Alligator mississippiensis: one gene and its partner. The protein of the gene in region 1 binds, or shares a complex with, the protein of each later gene. Links are inferred from orthologs where the notes say so. Each region holds a gene or a part of one and is shown on either strand. Other genes may lie near its edges.

Region 1 (11,099 bases):
AAATCTCTGGGTTTTTCTTGTGAATCACATACAGGTGTTTACACACCCAACAGGGCTAATATAGTGCAACCCCCTGGATGAGAATCACTGCTCTGAAAGATGAAGAGCAAGCCAGCAACACAGGCAGTAAGGATAATTCTCTGAGCCTCGTGACTTAATTCCAATAGTTTACTAAATCTCCAGATCTCTCCTGCCCAGGGCAGGGGGTCAGACTAGAAAATCTACAAGGTCCCTTCCGACCCTACATCTATGAATCTATATTTGCAAAGCTGTGCAGCACCAGAGTCATTGATTTCTGATGCAGGCCTGGAAAGGTCTTCAGTGTTAGCTCTCCCCATCACTCTTGATGCACCCCAGGAATTCAGCATCTCCATTTTTTTTTTCTCTCTGCTTCACTACTTACAGGACGTGCTGGATGGCAGAGGCTGTTCTGGTCACATTGCGCAGCTGGATGACGTTCTGGATTTTCTGGAGAGTGGCACTTGTATTCCAGCTGTCCCGCAGGTCAAACTCTGTCCTGATGTCCATGCCATACTGGACAAGGGCAAAATTACACTGGGAAGAAGGGACATACAGGTGTTCATTATTACTAAAGGCAGAACCAGAGAACCCCAGCTCTTCATGACAGTGGGTCAAGGAAATCCCAACTGAGGAAACAGCATTAACGAGGCAGAGGCAGACAATACGAACATTTCAGACAGAAATCACACCTACGTGCTGAGGAGGTGGGTCCAGCATTTAACCTGAAAGCTGGTTTAGTTTGGGGAAAATTAGGGTCTCAATAATATTAACATTTTATTCTGCATTGTCCAGTTGGACCAGAGAATTTTAAGCGCAGGCTAAACTTATTTTTCAGGCTCTTGTTTTCATGTTATTTTTTTGCTCTATGTGCAGGCAGCAGAGGGAGCAGTTTGGAGTATAACTGAACAGACACACAGCTTTTGGCTATGCACTGGCCCTCCTTGGAGGTTTTCCATTCAATGACTGATTCTTGACTAACAAAACGGGGGAAGAGCAACAATAGCACAATACAGCATCTTCAGCGAGACCAACCAGACCAAGCAAAGAAGATACCTCGAAACACTTCTTATAGACTGTTTCCATCATGGTGTAGATGAAGGCCTTCGCCCTTTCAAAATCCTCAGGCTCGATGCTCCCGGACCCATCCAAAACAATAGCAATCTCTGTTCCTGCATCTGCCGGGGACAAGAATTCAAAGGATGCTGAAGGACATGGAGGCAGCAACTGGGAGTTCAGAGCGCCTCACCCAGCCCACCAGCAGTCCAGCATTGCAAAAAGTTTGTAAGGGCTCAATAGCCAGCTACCACAAAACCACAAAGCTGTTAGTTCACAGTCCGCATGGAGGGCAGAGCTGTTGGCAGCCACACAGCGAGTGCCCAGAATCAAGGGTAGCAAGTGATATTTAACAGCATGTTCCCTTGCAAGATATTTCCTCACTTACACATGTCGTCGTCCTCCTCCATGCCAGGCTCATAGCTGTTATTGTTCTTGTCGCTGTTTTCATCTCTATGCCCACCTTCTTTATTTGGGGGATTTTCTACTTAAAAAAAAGCAATTTAGTGTGTAGATGTACCTTGCAGCTATACCCTGTGCCATGATCCAGTGACAAGCCAACTCTGGGGCTTCATGCTTGTGCACTGTGCTGTCACCATCCTTTCAGTCTAAGAAGGATCAGGCTAACGTATGGGCTGAAGACTCGTGTGAAATGGATGACAGCCTTGCATCTCAGGTGGCCTGTTACAGTCCTGAGGTCCTTTAAAACAGGCATGCATAGTTGCTTGGGTCAGAGTATAAATGAAGGGGAAGCAGAGGTAAGTGGTGAATAGCATGAATTCTCCCTGCCTCATCTGCTGACCAAGGCAGGAGAAGGATGACATTTCTGAGGACAGCAGAATGACAGAGCTTTTAGCAAGGGTGTCCAGAACCCCGAAAAGGAACAAAGCTTCCCAGTGTTTTGAGAGGGGACGAGGGGAGAAAAACAGGCATTGTTTTCCCAGCATCCGTTCCGTATCAGGGGTACTGTGATCTGCCTCCAAAATAGCTGCTTCTTCGATCAAAAAGTCTTTATATTGAAGCTCGTAGCCAACAGAGTCTAATCAGGGCTGAGTTTACCGCCCTGTCACCCAGCCATGCTGACTATGTCCAGCTAATACTGTATTGTGGTTTATACACTTGTCCCCACAAGTGCTTCAGCAATGGCAGGGGTGTACTTGGTAGCCGTGTTGGTCTGAGACAAAAAGACATACAATGGCAGGAAACTTGCAGAGAAAGCTCAGCTCTTGGCTCATTACTGTGTTGCAGCACGGAAGACACACTGCTGCAAATCAGCCTTGGCCTGCCACATTTGGAATAACTTCATTTCCCCTCCACACCACCCTCCCACCTGCAGGGTGTGAGGTATTTAGCTGCATTTAACACACGTCTCTACCCTGCCCCCCTTAAGAGATGATCTATATTACCACCCAGCACTTACCTTTCATTACATGCTCGCTTCCTAAATCATCACGTGGGTGATTGCCAGTACTACGGATGCCCAGGGGGGTGTGTGTGCTGATGAAGTCGTCAGGTTCGATAACATTAACATTGTCCTTGTTGCTGCTGCTACTTTGGTCACTGCTGTTTAATTTGTTCTCAACTGTGCAAATGAAAAAAAAGGCAGGGGAAGTTTTTAGAAACACACATTTTTAAATAAAGCAGTTGGAGACGCAGCTCTGTGTCAGATCACAGTGGGTCCCGAGTCAGCCCTCTAACCTAAGAACCAATGGCACCTCGAGGCTGCCTGCCTGGCACTTTTGAAGATCGCTTTAGGCACCTGCTAATGGTTCTAAATCTGGCTGTACCTGCCCAATCCTCCAGCATGCACTAGGCACACAACACAACATAAGTACACCTTTGTATTCCAGAATGTCAAAGGCCAAATGCTTCCCAGACATTCACAACACACAAACTCAGAGCAAACACACACGTGTCACTCAGAGCAGAATTCAGCTCCAAATTTCTATCACCTAGATGCTCCAAGTGGGTGGCAGAAGCTACCCAGCCGGAGTTCAAGAGGCCTCTAGAGGCCTTCAGGGCAGCAGGGTTCGAATGGTACTCTGTGCGCAGCACAAAAGCAGTTCCCTCTGTCATGGTCCCTCCCCAAAAACATGGCATTGGCATTGTTCCATACTGATGTTGGCGAGGTTGAGGAAAGCCTTGTCTTGAAATTCAGGAGTAAGCAGGCTGCAGATTCCATTCAGGTCCTCCACAGTGCTAAAAGCTTGGCGACGCTTTTTCTGCAGACAAGCCTGTGTGGGGAGGGATGATTTACTGATGAATGGCAGCGAAAGGACCCGAAAGAAGATGGCCAAAGAAGCCACGTGCCAACATTTCAAATCAAACAGGCCAAAGAACCTCTCATCAAGAGTCACCAAACCATTCCCCTCTCTTGCAAAGTGCTGAAAGTCTCTTAGGAGAGAGACATAGCAATACGTGCCCTCCCCACCCCAGGCTTCCCTCTGCCAGCCTCTCCGTCAGGTTGGAGGGCTTCAGCAAAGCTCTGCTTCTTCTGACAGCAAAGTCCCTCCCCAGCCAAAGAGAAGGTGCCCCTGATCTCCCACATGGTAGATCAGGTGCTGTGGCTTGCGGACCTAGGCTTCCACCAACGCACAGCAGCTCATCTCCATAAGGTGTTTCTGACCACTTGTGTATCGCAGCAAATGTAACTTGTCCTCTACGAGAACACATCCAAGGCCTTGCTGTATTTTCCTGTCACTTACCAGGATCCATTCTGCACTTCTAGCTATAGCTATGCCACCGTCCTGGATATTTTTTGACTTAAAAACATTTCCTGAAAATAGTGAAATTAAATGTAATCAATAAATAGAGAAACAGCAAACAGGGTGGAAATATAGACAGGTGCATATGCTAATGCCCATCATCTCAGCATTTCTCATGCTTGGGCTGATCTTATAAATCCAGACCAGGGCTACAACTATCCAGGACGTCTTTAGCTGTAGTATTTACACTTAACCCATCTGTTTATATGCTAAGTCCAGCTCTGGGGTGATAGGCTTCATGGAAGCACACACAAGTCTTTCCATCAATGGTGATGGGATTTGGACCAAGCCTTACATGCCAGAGAAGTCTCTGAGCACTCATCAGCTTCCCCCTTTCTCAGCTAATGTGTATCTGGATTTCTTTTTCTCATCAGTGGTCCAAGACAACCTGGAGACCTAATGTATCAGGAACCCCTCTCTGCCTCCCTCCTGTCCTCTCTGTGAAGTTGTACTCCAGTGTTTGTCAGACTCCTCCCTCCCCCATCCTATTCAAAATTTACTTGAAAAAACTACTAAGAAGAATGAGCTGGACTGTACCTCTCAGACCAATCTCCTGACACTTGATCGCTTCTTTGGCAAGAGTGCACTTATTCAGCCTGCCAAGCATCCCGTTTTGGTTGTTAACTTCTGAGGAAGTTGCCAAAATCCTGAAGGATATGTGGAAGTAAAAAAAAAAGTACAATATACAAAGGAGTGTACAAAGCAATAGACAAAGGAGTGACCAGTGTAACCCTCCTGATCAGCATGACTTCCCCTTTATTTTGCACTGTGTCACTATTACGGCTGACCACTGGAGTGGGTTTATGTGATCGCTGCCTGGGACCAGATCAGTAAATGAGTCACCCCTCATTTTCCTAACCCCCCCATGCTAATACAACAGCTCTCCAGCCCAGATTGCAATGCTGAAGCTAAGAGTGTTTGTCATTTTAATACCATGAGCTATGGACATAGCCCCCCAGTGACTGGTCATATATCCAACCACCACTTTTCCCCAAAGATATCATGGAAGATGCAGTTTTCTGGAAAACATAAAATTCCCTAGTTTTAGAGCAAAGCATGGGACTGAATCATAAAACACCTGCCAGGTGAATTACACTTCTCTTTCTGCATCAGCCACTTTATGTGCTGCAGCAGGGAAGAGGAGGAGGGGGGTTTTCTTTTCTGCTCCAAAGCCTAAATCAGCCCTCCATTCTGCAGAAATGCACTGCCGCAGCAGCGATCTCCAGACACTACATGGGTTGTCTCCACATTAGCCTTCCTACTCCCCCAGCCCAGCCCCCCACTTGTATTCCTGACAAACCCACGAGAACTGCATCAGTTTCTATCTGGTTACCGTTTCCAGCCCAAGCTTGAGTCACACCTGGTAGCTGTGGGGCAGCAGCAGCTGCTGCTACCCAGAGATGAGACACAAAGCCAGGAAATGAGCAGCCTGGCAAACGTCGTAGTGGAAGGGTGGTCTAGTCACGCAAGCTGCTGCCTGTACAGCACGGTGACCCAGTTATGGGGGGAATGCAAGAGTGAAAGCAGCTTGAAATCCAAAGCCTGTGAAACAAATGCTTTAATGCATAAATGTTATGAAGGCTCCTAATGATAATGACTGGATATAAAAGCTAATTACTTACACACAAATTTATAAGGCTCCACAGAAGCCAAATGATGTTTTGTATCTCACAAGATGTTTAAACTAGGGCCTGGCACTGTGGGTACCAGGAGCATGATGGGGATTCCCAGTGCCCCCACACCAGGGAACAAGCATCCCTGAGGACCTGAGAGGGGGTTATTTCTTGACTCTTACCAGGCTTTGTGGCCATCAGAGTGCTGAAGAACCTTGGGCCAAGAAAGATGGTCTCCGTGAGGTGTCATCCACTTCTTGCTGGTGTCAATATTGAAACCCCTCAGGGGCTCAATGGCTGAAAACGAAAAACGTCATAATGGGCCACGACCTGCCAGGTGAGTTACCACTGCCCTGGTCACTGCTTACCCCTGGCCAGTGCCTTCAGCAAGGAAACAGCCAGGGGTATGATCCAGCTAAACCATGGAGCCTCACTGCTTCAGATCAAGAACCTTTCTGGTTCACCTTGGGAGACAGATGCAGTATGAAACATAATGTTGCTCTTTACTACTTCCCTTTAAATGAAGAGACAGAAAGCAGCTCCTGCTCAAGAGTTCAGAAAGCGCAGATGTAGGGAGACCATGCCCTGAAATACATCACGAGACAACCCTGCAGAGACTTTTAAGGCTTCAAACACAGCCTAATCCAAGGGGTGGATCCAGCGAGCACTTGGAGGGCTAAGAGCAGGTTCGCACTGGTCATTAGGAGGTCAGTTCAGTGCTGGAATGGACTGAGCTGGAATTAAGACCTGCAAGGCAGGAAACTTATCCATCCTAGTTTCAGTACAGCTGGATTCCCTTCCCCACCCCATTCTTGCTCCCAGCTGGTAAGAAATCACTGTGGCTTGTGCAAGCCTCACGTCACTGAGGATCTTTATCAGTGAGGTCAGGACTGGTAAAAAAAATGTTACTCAGCAATCTTGGAGGCTGAAAGCATTTACCTGCAGAAGACAGCTTGGACAGCAGCAGGATTCACTTTTTCCAGCCCCCAACCATCTGTGCCTAAAACCCCCACCCAGCACAACTAAGTCTAGCAGGATGAGAGTGTGGAATTCATGGGATTTCTGCCCTTTTTGGTTCCTTTTTTGAGAGTCCTGATGAGAGAAGAAATGAAAGCCCAACATAGAGTCAGGTGTGGGGATGTGGATGCAGCGCCAGAGGCAAACCATTAAATACACAGCCCTCAAACGTCATGCATACTCCGTGCTGTCCCAGACTGAAAATGTTAGTAAGCCGGACAACCTGAAAGACACACAGAACGTAGGGTGCAATGACAAACACCAGTTGAAACACTTGACTTCTGTTGAAATATCCAGGGTTTGCAATGCCCTGACAATTCAGAAAACTCTGCGGTTTGCTCAGAGATGAGACCCCAGGGCACTCTGGTTCCAAACTCTGACAGTGCCTTTGAGATGCTAAACTAAAACTGGATTAACATTTTGTAAGTTCTCCTGCTGTGACCAGCCTGACCTGCCAGTGCAGTTTGCATAGCTTATATCCCCCTTTGAACAGTCATCCCAGGATTTTGTCCATTGTCCCTTCTGCTGTTCAGACTGTGGGAGAGTCAGATTCTGTTTGTGTTCACACCAGGGGCGGTGGTCTTGTGACCAAGAGCTGAGGTGGATCTTACAAAACGCATGGAGGCAGAATCATTGCCCAACCACCCTGGCTGCCAAAATACAACTGAGGGGTGGGAACTGAAATACTGTGGCCAACACAGTTTCCTGTAGCAGACTGTTCTTAAAGCTTTGCTTCTTCTTCCTCAGACATGCTACAGCGGCTTGGTGTGCAACTTATTTTGGAACTTGGGAGGCCTAGTCCAGGCCACCTTTCTGCTTTGCAAATCCTGTGCTAGCATTCAGACACCTGACTCCTGCACTCTTGCATCTAACTACAGTTATTTGAAACCCAGGCTTTTTGCCTCTGCTGCAGGCTGGCATGACATACCTGCCTCTGACACATGCATCATATGCAAGACAATCTGCAACAGCTTCATCCTGCTCTGGTTGCTGATTTGCTATTTGCATCAGAGCAAAGACTATTTCTGGCTCTCAAAGTGTTCAAAGAAGGCCACAGCCTATGTTAACAGCTGCATTTGAAGTAGCCCAGTGCTCCTCTGTTTCCACATGTGGCCCACTAACCTCAATGGGGTTGTACTGATGATACACAAGAGAATTTCACCTCTAGTCCCATTGTACTTTGGGACCCCATTCTGAGCTCAGTTAAATTTATGTTAACTTGAAGCAATTCCAGTGAATTCAATTAGATTAATGCCAGATTTATGACAACGTCATTTATATAAAATCCTGGCCCTGTGTAAATAAAGACAGATCATTACCACTACCAAATACACAAATATTCATTAAACCATCCGTTACAGCCTGTAACATTTTCTACTTCTAAAAACACCAGTTGTGCTGATTATCAGCAATCCTTCGGCACTTGGCTCTGTGCTTGCAGCTCCATGTTATCAGCCTACTAACCATACATAGTTTCTGGAGAGAGATTTTCCAAAGAAAAGTGTGCCAGTTACATTGAAATGCATCCTTAATACAAACTGGTACACTGCAGACATTCCTGCAGAGCTTGTCACAATAGGAAGGATGCAGGACACCAAAGAAACTTTCCACTAATAACTTGTTTCAAACCAAATAAAGAGCCCATATGTGGATGTCCCTATGCATCGTTGTTATAATTCATGGGTCCCTGATCTTTACTGACTCATGAACTACAATACTGAGTCAGTAACACACTGAGGGCAACACTATACTTTGCTCTCTCCATCAACCTCTGTTTTAGCTTTTTATTATCCTGCGTGGCAGTGAGCAATGCTGGAAGGTCTATGGGGAAAATGTTTCCTGCGAGTCTTGTGTTGGGGGTCACTGCTATAGTTGGTCTTGATTGCTCCTTCAAACTAATCCTTTTTGGTGATCCTTCCTTGTAATCTCAATTTACTCCCCGCCTGCCACCATCATCCCACCCTCTGGATTCACGTTGGTTCATCTTGTTTCACTTAAAGCTTGCAATCTTGAGAACGTGCCTGTTAGCAATGCTCTGTAGGAGCTGACAATGCTGTAGTCACACCACAACAGACTCACTGCATGTTGTGGCTTTCTTTTTCAGTTGTCATAATTTGTTTCAGGTTTCTGATGAGAGAAAAAAAAAGGCTAGACACCGTCTCACTGAGAAGTGGGAGGCTTTATTCAATAGCTCCAACACTCAGGTCCTTGCCTTGGGCTATTGGTGCAAAAGACATCGCTACTGTTTCATGGGGTTCATGGCACTTAGAGACAGGTCTGCAGAACAAGGACAGGACTAGGGGGATGCTTCTAGAAATGTGCATCTTTGGTTGTAGCACTGATCTAATAGTGTCCAAGGATTATGGGATCACGTCGTAGCAAGGTTCCCTGTTTTGGGAGCCCTGTGCATGGTTCAGTTTCAGGCCTCTATTCTTTACTAAACAACAGGGGTGACAAAAATTGGCTATTTTTGCGGTTTAATTGTGTCATGAGGAGCTTTTTTAGGATTTAAATGAGTTTGCTATGTTGCAAACTAAGCCACTTCCGCGTGCAATATTATAACATTGCAGCCTTTGACAGTTCACCCCCCCCCTCCCCCCCGGGTGCCACGGGGGAGGCGGGCTGAAGGCAGAAGCAGTGAGGGGCCTGATCCTTTTTTTTTCCCCCATGGACCTGCCCACATCTCCCACGGCCGGGGGGCGAGTTGCCGGTGGGCTGAGCAGCGCCTGAGCTGCGGAGAGCCCCAGTTCTTCTTTTCACCATGGCGGCACCCCAGGAGGCTGCCCAGGTAGCAGGCAGGTGCTGCCCCAGCCCGGGCTCAGAGAACTGTTGGATCAGGCTGGGTGCTGCCTGTGAGCTGAGGCAGCACTGGCCCGCTAGCTGCCCGCCTGGGTGGCCCCAGGGGGCACTGCTGCCATCCAGGTCTGGGGAGGAAGGTCCAGGGCTCCCCCCGCACAGCTCAGGGGTAGCTCAGCTTGCCCCCTGGCCGTGGGAGAAGCAGGAAGGCTCCACAGGGCGGAAAAAAAAAAAAAAAAAAAAAGGATCAGGTCCCTCACCGTAATGCCCCTAAATTGAAATGGTGAAATTTTAATTGCAATTAAAAAAATTTGCCATTTCAATTTAAAGAACTAAACCCCTGTCACATGTACAAGCAGTTCAGGACTTAAAGCATAACAGTAATGCAACAAGGCCCCTCCACAGCTCAAGTCCCCTTACAACTGCATGGTTTGCAGTGGTCACGGTTGGCCTCTGAGCCCCTCCTATCAGACATGGTTTTAAAAAAACTACAACTGTGTTGAAATCACTTCCCCGTGGAAAGGCAGACATCTTCAAGTCAGCAGACGCTTCTTAAGCAGACAATTGTGCATGACGCATCCCAGCAAAGGGAACTGTGGCTGTGGCAAACCTCTGCTCTTTTGACTGCTTATGTGATATGAAGTGGCTTAGGACTGGAGGCAGTGTGGGCTGGAGTGACTGCAGAGCTTGGAGCCAGAAACACTTGTAATTTTCAGCTCAGCTTTGCCACCAACTTAATGCACACAAGCCAATCGCTCCCTCTCTGTGGGTCAGTCTTCCCCCTCCTTGTAAATGAAAGATCAAACTAACTTTCCTTCCTTTGGCATTCCAAAGATCGATGCTTTAACATTTGTACCGAGCTTTGAATGTGTCATAGTTAAAAATATATTGTAAAACACCCAGCAGCTTTTTTGTGCGTCATATAACTGAATTCTGTGGGTGAAACATCTCTAGAGAGTATATATTATGGGAAGATCTGCTCAGAAGCTTCTAAGCACGTAATCAAGACATGCTTATACACGGAGCCCAGCTTTTGTCAGCTATTACCCAAGAAAGCGCAAACCACATGCACAAAGGGTGACACAGAAAGTAGAAAAGTGAGAGAGCAGAGCTTCTGTGTGCTCAGATGAGCAGAGAGTACAACCCCCCTCCACTTCAGCCCCTCATTTTAGTGCAGCCTTACATAGGCTACCTCAAGACAGGAGAGAGTCTAGGGAATTTTAGCTGGTACTGTAAAAATCCCCACACAACAGCTGCATGTTTAATAGACTGAAAGTTGCTTATGCCAACTTTGAGATTGAGTATTTTATCCCACGTCAGAGGTCTCTGCCAGCACAAATGGACAATACACTCCCCTTCCATGGCTGTCCTATGAAAACTACTTGAGATTCATGCCATTTAATATTGCACATGTTAAAAACTATATTTAAAGAACGTTAATGTGGCAAAGCCAAGCAGTCAAAAGCTAGGATACGTCAGACTTAAGGTTACCTCTGCAAGGCACTCCCTTGAAGCCAACATGCCATCTCTGCCAATGCCAAGCTCCTGCTCCAAAGCACAAAAGTGCAACGGATTCTCAATTAAGTGGCTGCTAAGCACCATGAGGAAAGCAGCATTTTTTTGTCATTTATTTCTTCCTCGTACATTTTGAGAATTTGGAATAATTTTGCTGAAAGGTTTTGAAAAATAAAATCAGCCCTAGGCAGACAGGCATGCAAAAATTCTGCCCGATTGGCAAAACAGTTACAATAGTGTAAGGGGGATATTTCAGCCGGGATGGTCCAGAAATTATGCAAAGTTCTGTGCATAGTTGTGCTGCATATATGGAGGTGTG
Region 2 (10,622 bases), on another chromosome or scaffold:
TTTCCCTCCCTAGACCCCCCACCCATCACCACTCTTGGGCCCAGGAAAAGAACCCAGGAGTCTGGCCCCGCTCCCAGGCTGGCCCTGGCCCTGGCTTACGTAGACATGGCTCTTGGCATAGAAGCCATCAGAGCCAAGGTGGCAGCGCCCATCACTTGGCAGGTAGATGCCACCCAGGCGCCCATCGCCAGCCGTGTGGAAGGTGTCATCCGAGGTGAACACAAGCAGCCGTGTCACATTTCGCCACCCGATCTGCTTCTGGAGGGGGCGGGAGGTGAGGGCCTGGCAGCACTGCGGCCCCCTGCCCGCTTGCATGGGCATCAGCACCGGCACGCCCAGGCCATGTGCACCACACACACTCGTGCACACACACCCCTGGGTACACGTGTGACCCTGCTTCCATACCCACCTCTGTGCACACGCACCCTGAGCACCCTTGTGGGCTTGTGAGCGCACAGCTGTGCACAGCACATGCTTGAATAGCTGCCCGCAGCTGTCTGCACATGTGTGCTCACCCCTCCTCCATTCACACTCACGCACACTCACGGCTGTGCACTAGCGTGCCCCTTCATTTGCACGTGCACCAACACACTTGTGAGCACACAGTCACACACATGAGGCAAGGCAAATGCACACCACAGCTGTCTGCACACGTGTGCTCACTCCTCTTCCATTCACGCTCATAGCCATGCATATGCACACCCCTTCATTCATGCACACACTGGTCCACTTGTGAACACACAATCCCAGTTGTGCATGCACAGACACATGCACACATAAAGCGAGATGAAAGCACACCCATGGCTGTCTGCACAAGTGTGCTCACATACCCATGCGCTTCCTTCCTTCCCAGCTCTCCACACACCCTGCCATGCACATACACTTTTGTGGACTCAGCCCCCCTGGGCTCACACACGTGTGGACACACACAGCCGTGCAGCGCTCCCCCACTCACACAAGGGCCCTGTTGCACCCACATATGAGCACCTACCTCGCACACAGCCACCTGCATGATGGCATCGAAGCCGCCCTCGGGCGCATCCAGGTTGCCCGAGATGCGCTGGTGCCCGACGCGGCGCTCAAACTCGCTGGCGTTAGCGGTGAGGGGCAGCACGTGGTGGAAGCTGGCAGGGGGGGCGCACTGCTCGCCCCGCTCGGGGCACGGGTTCTGCAGCTTGGCCGGCACCGTGCTTACGTAGGGCAGCACCGTCTTGTCCACGAAGGAGCCGAAGCCTGCGGGGCCGCACGTCCGTCAGCCTAGGGGTGGGGGGGCTGCCCCAGGGGTCCCTGGCCTCAGGGACCCTGCCCCCAATCCCCGTCCTGACCCCCCACCCTGAGGGAACCCCCCTAGGGACCCTCCCCTTGACCTCAGGGCCCCCCCCCCACCCCGAGAGACTCACCCTCATCCTCAGGGATGCCCCAAGGGCCCCCTGCCCTGAGGGACCCTGCCTCCAGCCCCCCCCCCCCACCCTTAGGGGTCTCCCCTGACCCCCCTCCCCACCCTGACTTTCCCTGGTCTGAGGGAACCCACCCAGGCCCTCCCACCCTGAGAGGGACCCTTCCAACCCCCCTGTGCCAAAGGACCCCCACCCTGGGGGACCCCTCCAACCCCCCCCCCACTCCACCCCAAAGGACCTTCCCCCAAGCCCGTGCCCATGAGGAACACCCCCAAAAAGACCCTGATCCCCCACCCTGAGGGACACCCCTGCCCATGAAACCCAGGGGTCCCGGGTCCCAGCCGACTGTCGCCCTGCGGGAGCCGGGGGTGCAACCCAGGCGTCCAGACAGGGGGCCACACCGATGCGCACGGAGGGGGTGGCTCGGCGCAGGGTGTCCAGGAGGGCGCTGCCCAGGCGCCGCACGTTGGCCAGGTCATCGCGCATGGAGTAGGACATGTCCATGAGGTAGTAGAGGTCCACGGGGAAGCCCTCGGCTCGCCGGAACCGCACCTGCAGCCGCTGCGCCGCCCCTGTGCACACAGCCCGGGTCAGGGCTCGGGGTCGGGGTCACCAGGGCCTGGGGCGCAATGGGAGGGGGCAGCAGGGCAGCGGGACAAGCCTCTGCTCATCTGTCTGTCTGCCCAAGCCCGGGGAACATGTGGGAGCCCACCAGGAGCCACGGGGCCGGGGCCTGGGACACGCCAGCCCATGGTGACATACCAGGGACACACCACCCGCATGCAAGGCAGGGCCGTGGCAAGGGACACGCCAGCCCCCAGTGACACAGGACCACATGCCTGCCAGGCTGCCGGGCCCCATGGCCCCTCTCCCCCCAGCCCCCAACACGCACCGGGCCGGAGGCGCAGGGCAATGCGCTGCGGGGCGAGCTGGGTGATGCGACCGTGGCTGGGGCTCAGGGGCTCATCCTCCAGCACCCGGGTCTCGCTGTCGGGCTCCACCACCTCGCCCGGGGGGCAGCCACGGCGCAGAAGCACGTCCCGCGTGGCACAGCGCGCCCCATCGCCCTCGCCCGCCTGCGGGAACCCCTGCCAAGGGCACAGGGCCAGGGCTGAGTCAGGGGCGTCTAGTGCCCGCCATGGGCACTGCCACCCCTCCCAGCGCCGTGCAAGACGTGCAGCATGGGCGCAGATCCTTATCGTGGCCGTTTGCCACCCGCATTTCCTGCTGCTGGAGGTGACAGACAGACAGGGGGTGCACCCCAGGCCAGCCGCAGCCTCCTCACCCTGCCCCGCCAGCGCAGCTCTGCCTCAGTTTCCCCCAGCATGGTGCTGGCCTCTGAAACCAGAGCCAAGTGAGATGCGGGCCAACGGCCCCAGCCCCACCAGCCCACTCTCCCCGCTGCTGGGCAGGATGTGGCCTGCTGCTGTCACGCACACAGGCAGCCCCTACCCCTGCCCTGCGCTGGGGGAGCACCGGGGAGGATTTCCGGGGGGGAGGGGGCTGCCAGCACCTGCGGGGCTCTCAGCGGTTCCCCGCTCCCACGGGTGCCCATGCCAGACCTAGTTCCAGGCCCTTTTTAGGGTCCGAGGGGGCAGGTTGCCAGAGACGGGGGGAGGACAGCCAGGCCTGAGCTAGCAGGGGCTGGGGGGAGCCCAGCATCGGGAGTGGGCAGCACCAGCAGCATTGGCAGGGGGGCAAGGGGCTGCGGGTCGGGAGCGAGGGGCACCGGCAGGGCTGGGGGTGGAGGCAGGGGGCTCCCCAAGGGAGGGCTGGATCTGGGGAGGGCGGAGGGGGGACGTGCCCTGACTCAGCTTGTTATTTCCCCTGGCCTTTTCGTGAGAAAGACCGAGAACAGAAAGGAGAAGAGTGAAGGTGAACCTGGGGCCACGGCCCGACTGGGACGTGACTCCCGCTGCCGGGGATCACCTGAGGGCAAGACACGGGGCGGCGGTGGAGCCCAGGCAGGGGGGCTGTGGGGGGGGCACTGGGGGGGGCAGGGGGCTGCGGGTCAGGAGAAGCACCAGCGGGGCTGGGGGCAGCAAGGGCTGCAGGTTGGGAACGAGGGGCACCATCGGGGCAGGGGCTGCGGGTCAGGAACGAGGGGCAATAGCAGGGCTGGGATGCGGATGCCCTGCTCTGCTTGCAGCCCACCCCGCTCCCCGCCACACATGCTTACCAGGTCCTTGCACCAGGCGCAGCTGGGGTGGGAGCGGATGCAATCCTGGCAGGAGGCCTGGGGCTGGCAGGCACCTGCGGGGACCGCACGAGGCGGGGGTGACGCTTGGCAGGGCCAGGGGCTGCGGAAGCAGCGCCAGCCCCGCACCGCCCCAGGCCCCCCGATCCCCCCGGCGCCCTGCTCACCTGCTCCAGCCTCTTGCGGGCTCGTCCCGGCCACCAGCCTCAGCAGCGCCAGGGCCAGGCCCACGCGCAACACGTCCCGCGGCATCGCCTGCGGGGACAGGGGTGAGGGGGTGTCCCGCCCGTACCCGTGCGAGTCGCACGAGGGGCTCCCACGGGCTGCGACACCCTCAGCCGGGGCTCAGAGGTGCCCCCCTCAGGCCCGCATCCCCCCGCACCCGCTCGTTTCCTCTGCATGCAGCGTATACGTGTACGTGTGCGTGTGAGCTGCCCCCCCCACCCCACCCCAGCTGCTCGTACACGCAACCCAGGGGCTCGGCACGGCGGGGCAGGAAGCGAGGCCCAGCAGTCGCAGCGCACCACCAGGTTCGGGAACTTCTGGATCCCCTCCCCGGCCCCGACACTCCCTGCCTCGGTTTCCCCCTCGGTGCCCTGGGTGGCGGGACCCAGGCTGCCCACGGGGCTGGCCAGGCCATGCCCAGAGCTGCCCACGGAGACGCCAGGACCCACCCGTGGGCGCGAGAGCCGCTCCTGGCTCCGAGGGTCAGGCAGGGCTGTCTGCACCCACAGTGCCTCGAGGCTGCAGCCGGGTGTCGTGCATGGCACGCTGTGTGCCCGCTGGAGCAGCCGCACCCAGTGCCCGGTCCTGCCCCAGCCCCGCCAGCCTGGGAGGAGCCCAAACCCAGCACCCCGCTCCAAGCCAGCAGGGACCTGGGCGGCTGCGCACGGTGCAGTACGATCCCCACCCCCGGAGCAGGGCCCAGGACAGTAGCACAGGCCTGGCCCGTCTGGCCGTCGCGCTCCCTTTTCCTTCCCCTTCCTCTTCCCTTTCTCTTGCAGCTGTGGTGCCTGCCCCGCTCTCCATTGCCCGCCTCCTTCTGTTAAGTCCTGACCCCTGCCTACCCCTGGTCCCATCTGCCTGGGAGTGGCATCATCCCTCCTTCTCCAGCCCCAGGTCTTGGCCTCCGTCTCTGTCCCCAGCCCTGGGCCCTGCCCGTACACACTCACCCTGCTGCGGTGGCAGGTGCCTGGCACTGGAGGCAGTAGCATGGCTGGCTCCGGGCTCCAGCCACGGACGGTGCCAGGTGAGGGGGTGGCGGCCGGAGCCTCCGATACGTGTGGCCGTAACTCCCCAGGCAGCTGCACCGCGATTTGCATCAACTTTTTGTGATAGGAAACCACAACCACGGGTGGGGTGGGGCGCAGCGCGTGGGGGAGGGCCGAGGGGCAGGGATGGAGGCAGGAGGGGCTGGAGGCAGAGGTGGGATTGGGGGGCAGAGGGGCATCACCCAGGCTGGGCCACTGGGGCCAGGCCCGAGGGTGCTGGGGTCACCGCCACTGCCCTAGGTCACTGCACCGGGTGCAGGGGGCGGCCCTGGATCACCCACCAGATGCAGGGGGGCAGCTGGGGGGACGTGCAGGCCTGGACCCCAAGCTGGGGCGTCTGCAGTCACAGCCATGTCCATCCTGCCCCCATGTCCATCCTGGCAGCCCTAAGCCCCACCCTCCTGCCCTGGGCCCTCCTGCAGCCTGGTCGCCCCAGGGGCAGTGTGTGTGCACAGGGTGTGTGTGCACAGGAGTGTGTGTGGGGCAGTGGGTTCCCGTGGGTGCCGTGTGTGTGTGCATGTATCTGTGTATGTGTGTGTTTATGGTGGGGGAGTTGCACTGTGCATGGGACGGGGAGCTGTGCCCCTACCTGGCAGTGCCCAGATTGTAGGGCAGGGCTCTGCGTACGTGCGTGTGCATGAGACGTGCCACTATGCACATTTGGGGGGGGGGGTGCCCGGGGGGGTCTGCATTCTGGCACCAGGGTCTGCAGGCGTGTGCATGCACCAGCGGTGCACACGGCTGTGCACGGGGGGCTGCACCCTGCTCATGAGCACACACAAGGCAGACCCTCCGCGTGCACAGGGAGCTGCCTGCACGGGCAGGGGAGTGCCCAGGCAGCGTGTCCAGGCGGTGGGGCTCCGCCCGCAGCAGTTGCTCCATCTCCCCCTTCCTGTTTTGCCGGCGGTTTGGTGCACACAGCACCCCCCTCCCGCCACGAACCCGTGTGGCCCCAGGGCCTGGCTCCTGCCGGCCGCCACCAGGGGGTGCTGCTGCCTCTGCCCCCATTCCTCGTGCCACAGGTGCCTCCTGCTGGGAACAGGGGGCATCGCTGGCAGCCCCCCCAACCACCCAGGCTTGAGAGCTGCACCTGCCTGCGGCCTCACCAGGCCGCGCAGACAGCACCGAGGCCTGGAGCCAGGCTGTGGCATGGACACGCCAGCCACAGGCAAGGCAGGGCCGTGGCATGGGACACGCCAGCCTGCGGTGACATGAAGCCACACACGTGCCAGGGGCTCGGGAGCGTTCAGCGGACACGGACACAGACAGCGTGCGGGCCACGGGCATGTTTCCATCGCTTTATTTTGCAAAAATAGAAAAGTGCTGCCCGGGCGGGCAGGGGGTGGGGGGCTGTAAACGTGCCGGGGCGCGGCCCCCCCGGCTGGGGGCGCTGGGCTACCCTGGGGCTGCGGGTGGGCTCCTCGCAGTACTGGATGCAACAGGGGGACAGCAGGGACCCCCCTGGGCAGGCTGGGGATGGGGGGGCGCCGCATCCCATGTAAACTCAAGGGAATAAATAACCTGTGCATAGCGTTGCAGCACCCCCCCCCCCCGCCCTTGCACCCTCCAGCTTGTAGTGTAGCAGGTCGGGACCCCCAGGCCCCCCCAGGGCAGGACCAAGCCAGAGGCTGGGGGAGGCAAGGCTCAGCAGCCCCTAGGATCTGCAGAGCGGGGGCATGTGCCGGGAGGGGGGTCCTTGGGGAGTCCGTGTTGGAGGAATCCCCCTGCCCCCCCCCAGTCCCCTTGGTCCCATGTCCCTCAGCACCCATGGGCTCAGGGCAGCCCCAGCCCCCCCTCCCCACCCCAGGCACCGTTCTGCAGCCCCCCGACACGCACCCCCAGCCCCCCCCACTCACACTTTATACAGCAACAACCTCGGTAGCGGCTCCCTCCCAAACTTGGACCTCGGCCCCGAGATCCGCGTCCCCCCCACCCCCGTTACACCCCCCTCTCCACAGCTCCAGGAGGCAGGGCAGGGCGGGGGCTGGCGCCCCCGTGTCATCCCCTGGCCCCATCCCTCTTCGTCTTCAGCGAGTCGAATAAATACAGCCCCAGACGCCTGGGTCCCTCGCAGCTGGTCGGCTTCACGGCGGGGATCCGCTGGGGACGGGGCGTCTCAATGCCCCCCCCCAGGGACACAGGCCAGGGTCTGTCTCTGCTGGTGCAGGGGGGGGCAGCAAATGCATGCGGAGGGGACCCCCCTGGTCCTTATCCGGGGCTCGGCCTCGCCCCCGTTTTTGGCTTGAGGTTGCCCGGGACTTTGGCAATGAGAAGCTGGGCTGGAGTAGGGCAGGGGTCCAGGCTGCCCCCACCCCACTTAAGGCAAGGGCTATACCTCTGGGTGGGCCTGTGGGCCCAAGTCAGCGTCCGTATCGTGCTGCGCGGCCCCCGCGGGGCAGGGCAGGTTGGAGTGTCCGGCCCGGCGGGCACAGGAGCCTGGCAGGGGCACGCCTGGGCGCTATGGGGTCTCCTCGGGGCTGTGGTCCCCACCCGGGCTGTCAGCAGCGTGGGGGGGCTCAGTGGCCGCAGGCGGCTGTGACACATCGTCCTCGAACATCTCGGGGTTCTCCAGCATCTCCTGGATGAGGGGCGGCATCGGCCCTGGGATCTCCATCTTCAGCGTGATGGCCCGCTCCGCGCCTGCCGACACAGGGACCAGAGTTGGCGCAGGGGGCCACGCTGCAAGCTTCCACACAGTAGTGCCACGGGGATGTGAGTGGGCACAAGCAGAGACAGCTTCTTCGCTGCAGGACAGCCTGTGGCACCCAGGCTGCAAGCTTTCCCCCAGCAGTGCTATGCCCAGCCCCAGAGCTGTGAGCTGCAAGCTTCGCCCCCTACCACCGCCCTCCGGCAGTGCTGCACCCGGCCCCAGGGCTGTGAGCTTCCCCAGCAGTGCCACACCCATCCCTGGGGCTGCGAGCTCCCGCCAGCAGTGCCATGCCTGGACCCAAGGCTGCGAGCTCCCTGAACAGTGGCACGTGTTACCTTTGGTGCTGATGCCGCGCAGGTCGGTGATCTTCATGAGCATGCGGGGAAACATGTAGGGCTTGTTGGGCCGGCGCCGGCGCGCGTAGATCTTCAGCGCTTCCAGCAGCGGCTCTTGCAGCTTGTCCACCTTCTCAGGCTCCTCCAGGTCCATGCGGTCTGCAGGGCACCAGCGGTCTGAGCCTTGCTGCCCCCCTGCCCCCAACGCTCGCAGCACCCCTTGCTGGCACCGCTGGGGAACAGAGCAGCCGGGAACAACCCCCAGCGCCCGCTGGGACTGGCACAGCCAGGAGCTCCCCCCACCCTGAGCCCACAGCCCCTGGCACCTCCGCAGATGAGGCAGATGGCGCTGAGCAGCCCGGTCTCAGTGTCGTCCATCTCAAGGGGCAGCAGCTGCCCGGCGAAGGCAAACACCAAGTCGGTGAGGGGCCCGAAGCCAGCGTTGTGCATCTGTGTGCGGTTCAGCGTCAGCCCATCTGAGAAAGTCATGGTGTCCTGCTCCGGCGTGTAGCGCGTGCAGATCCGCAGCATCTGGGAGAGCGGGCAGGGGTCAGCCCTGCACGGCCCCCTCCTTGCCACGGCCCCCTCCCGGCCGCCCCCTGCCCCTCACCAGGATGTCCAGGCAGGCGGCTTTGAGCAGAGTGATCTGGTCGGCGATGCTGAGTGAGGTAAAGCCGGGCAGGCGCTTGGCGAATTCCACGATCTTGATGATGCACTTGGTGGCCAGCTCGCTGAACTTGTCCCACAGCCCCAGGTCCAGCTGCACCCGGTGGTCAGCGCTCGAGTTCTGCGTGAGGGGAAGGGGTTGAGGCCGAGCGGTGCCCCGAGAGGGGCTGGGGGCTTCTGCACCCATTTCGCAGGCTGGGGAAGAAAACCCGGGTGTCCAAGGAACCCAGGCGTCCTGCTGGGAGCACACCAGGTGCCACCTGGTGCCCGGCTTGCAGCACTGCAGCTGTGTCTGGGCACCTCCCGCATCCCCCAGCCGGGCTGAGCACGGCTTCCGCTCCTCCGCTCGCGACAGCAGTGAGCAGCCCAACACATGCAACCCAGGCTCGAGGAGGGGCTCTCACCGTGGTGTACTTGCCCAGCTGGCACAGCGAGGGGAAGGTCTCCTGGTGCGCCTTGCTGACCTTCTGGATCAGCTCCTCCAGCTCGGGCGTCAGCTCGTAGCTGTCCCCCACTGCTTCCTCCTTCACCTCCTTCTTCTTCTTGTTCCGGTCGTTCCTCACGGCTGGGGGGCAGAGCAGGCGAGGGGTGGGGGTCAGCACGCAGGGCAGCCACGTGGCCTGAACTGAGACCCTGAGCCACACCCCAGTTGAGGGTGGCGCCGTGCCTCGGTTTCCCCACCTCCCCTGGGCTCTGTGAAAGGCTGCCTACATAGCTGGGCTTCCCGGGGCAGCAGCCTGGCACCTCCCAGCTGGGTCATACCAGGCCAGCCCTCCCCTGGAGACCTCTCCCACTGATGTGGCACTGAGGGGCAGGTGGTTTGGTGGCAGCGTTGGCCACCGGGCACCACAGGGGCAGCCTGGTATCAGCTGTGCCGGAGAGGCATCGGGCTCCCTCCCCCCTCCGCCCCAGCTTGGAAACCACCGAGATTTCTGCTCTCGGCCGCAGGAAAACAGGAAGCCGAGGACAAGGCGGCTGGATAGCGCCACAGCCAGGGGGGCACGGCCCAGCCAGCCTCCCACCCCTTTCTGCCCCCCAGCCAGGCCATAGACCCCACCGCTCCCCCCCTTGTACCCAGGTGTGTCCCGCAAGCGTGCACTGGCACCTGCGCGGGCACCTGCCAGCTGGGAGCACGGCCCCAGACTGGCTGCCTGCCGGGGAAAACCCCACAGCGACTGGCTGCTGGTGCTGGGGGGCTGGAGGAGATGCATTCCCAGCTTCCTCCTCCCTAGGGCTCTGCCCTGGGTTCCCTTGGGGCAGGAGGGGGACCAAAATGACCCCCCCACCTTTGCCCCCAGGTGCCTGGGGGAGCTGGGCTGGGGGGCGGGGGGAGGAAGCGCTGCCCACGGCCTGCACAAGACAGGGGAGCATGTGCCCCGCAGACCAGACCCAGCTCAGCAGCCCCCCCGCACACGTGCTGCCCCCCCGCGGCGCTCGCCCGGCTGCACTTCCTGCTAACCCGACTGCACCAGGCAGGAGCTGCCAACAGGATGCGCCAGCGGCAGGATATCCACTTATAGCCGCCCCGGCACAGGGCTGCCGGTGGGGGGGGGGGGGGGGCATCCCCCTCCAGCACCGGGGCAGCTGGCACCCCCACCCTGTTCAGCCCCGGGGCAGGGGCTGCGGATCTGGGAGACCCCCCTACCCCATCCTCCATCCCATTGGGGAGGGGGCCAGGAGAGCTCCCCGCAGCTCCAACACCCCCTCCCCTGCTGCAGGGCACCCCGAAACCCCCCCCAACACCCCCTGCTTCCTGTCTCCTAGGCAACAGGTCTCCCTGCATCCCATAATCCCCCCTCCCTTCCACTCTTAAAGTGACAGGCGCCCGGAAATCAATCTCAGCAGACACAGACACGGCTAATTAGGGGCTCTTAAGGAGACGGTGATGAATGGGGGGCCTGCCCTAACGGGCACAGGGACAAGCCCTCGCCGGGGGGAGTAAAAGCAACAGCACGGAGAGACACTCCATCTCCCCGCCAGCCTCTGACAGCCCTCGGAGAGCAACACGAGCCAGACCCCATGTCCTGCCCTGCTGGGATCAAGGACCAGGTTCCCTATGGCTCTGGTGCCCCAGGGCTGGTCTGCCCACACGTGCCCATGGCCACA

What was found.
Region 2: the proteins of ITGAE (region 1) and ITGB7 are in contact, whole or in part, in a cryo-EM structure (PDB 8ZJF), measured with the Homo sapiens proteins. The link is inferred for Alligator mississippiensis from reciprocal best matches to the Homo sapiens genes ITGAE and ITGB7. Residues at the interface, in NP_002199.3 of Homo sapiens: Phe36, Leu38, Arg91, His92, Arg93, Gly94, Leu111, Arg113, Leu118, Ser119, Ser120, Leu122, Glu196, Glu198, Arg230, Tyr233, Glu234, Phe237, Glu238, Cys239, Asn240, Ser259, Gln260, Val262, Met263, Leu266, Arg300, Leu401, Gln403, Phe406; in NP_000880.1 of Homo sapiens: Val201, Leu202, Pro203, Ser206, Thr207, Val208, Pro209, Ser210, Lys211, Arg213, His214, Cys216, Pro217, Arg219, Leu220, Glu221, Arg222, Leu255, Asp256, Ser257, Pro258, Thr291, Phe292, His293, Thr294, Ala295, Gly296, Asp297, Lys299, Leu300.

The regions. Positions count from the first base shown.
Region 1 is NC_081837.1:2,310,419-2,321,517, reverse strand, and holds the start of ITGAE (integrin alpha-E), read right to left. Parts: upstream 4,482-11,099; 5' UTR 4,447-4,481; coding exon 4,377-4,446; intron 3,851-4,376; coding exon 3,780-3,850; intron 3,309-3,779; coding exon 3,191-3,308; intron 2,657-3,190; coding exon 2,495-2,656; intron 1,559-2,494; coding exon 1,463-1,558; intron 1,197-1,462; coding exon 1,075-1,196; intron 556-1,074; coding exon 404-555; intron 1-403. UniProt on the Homo sapiens protein: Integrin alpha-E/beta-7 is a receptor for E-cadherin. It mediates adhesion of intra-epithelial T-lymphocytes to epithelial cell monolayers.
Region 2 is NC_081838.1:9,267,128-9,277,749, reverse strand, and holds the start of ITGB7 (integrin beta-7), read right to left. Parts: upstream 4,974-10,622; 5' UTR 4,917-4,973; coding exon 4,767-4,916; intron 3,850-4,766; coding exon 3,762-3,849; intron 3,651-3,761; coding exon 3,577-3,650; intron 2,486-3,576; coding exon 2,290-2,485; intron 1,970-2,289; coding exon 1,799-1,969; intron 1,234-1,798; coding exon 992-1,233; intron 259-991; coding exon 100-258; intron 1-99. Other genes in the region: RARG (retinoic acid receptor gamma), read right to left, coding at 7,324-7,505, 7,851-8,009, 8,177-8,381, 8,461-8,637, 8,921-9,081. UniProt on the Homo sapiens protein: Integrin ITGA4/ITGB7 (alpha-4/beta-7) (Peyer patches-specific homing receptor LPAM-1) is an adhesion molecule that mediates lymphocyte migration and homing to gut-associated lymphoid tissue (GALT).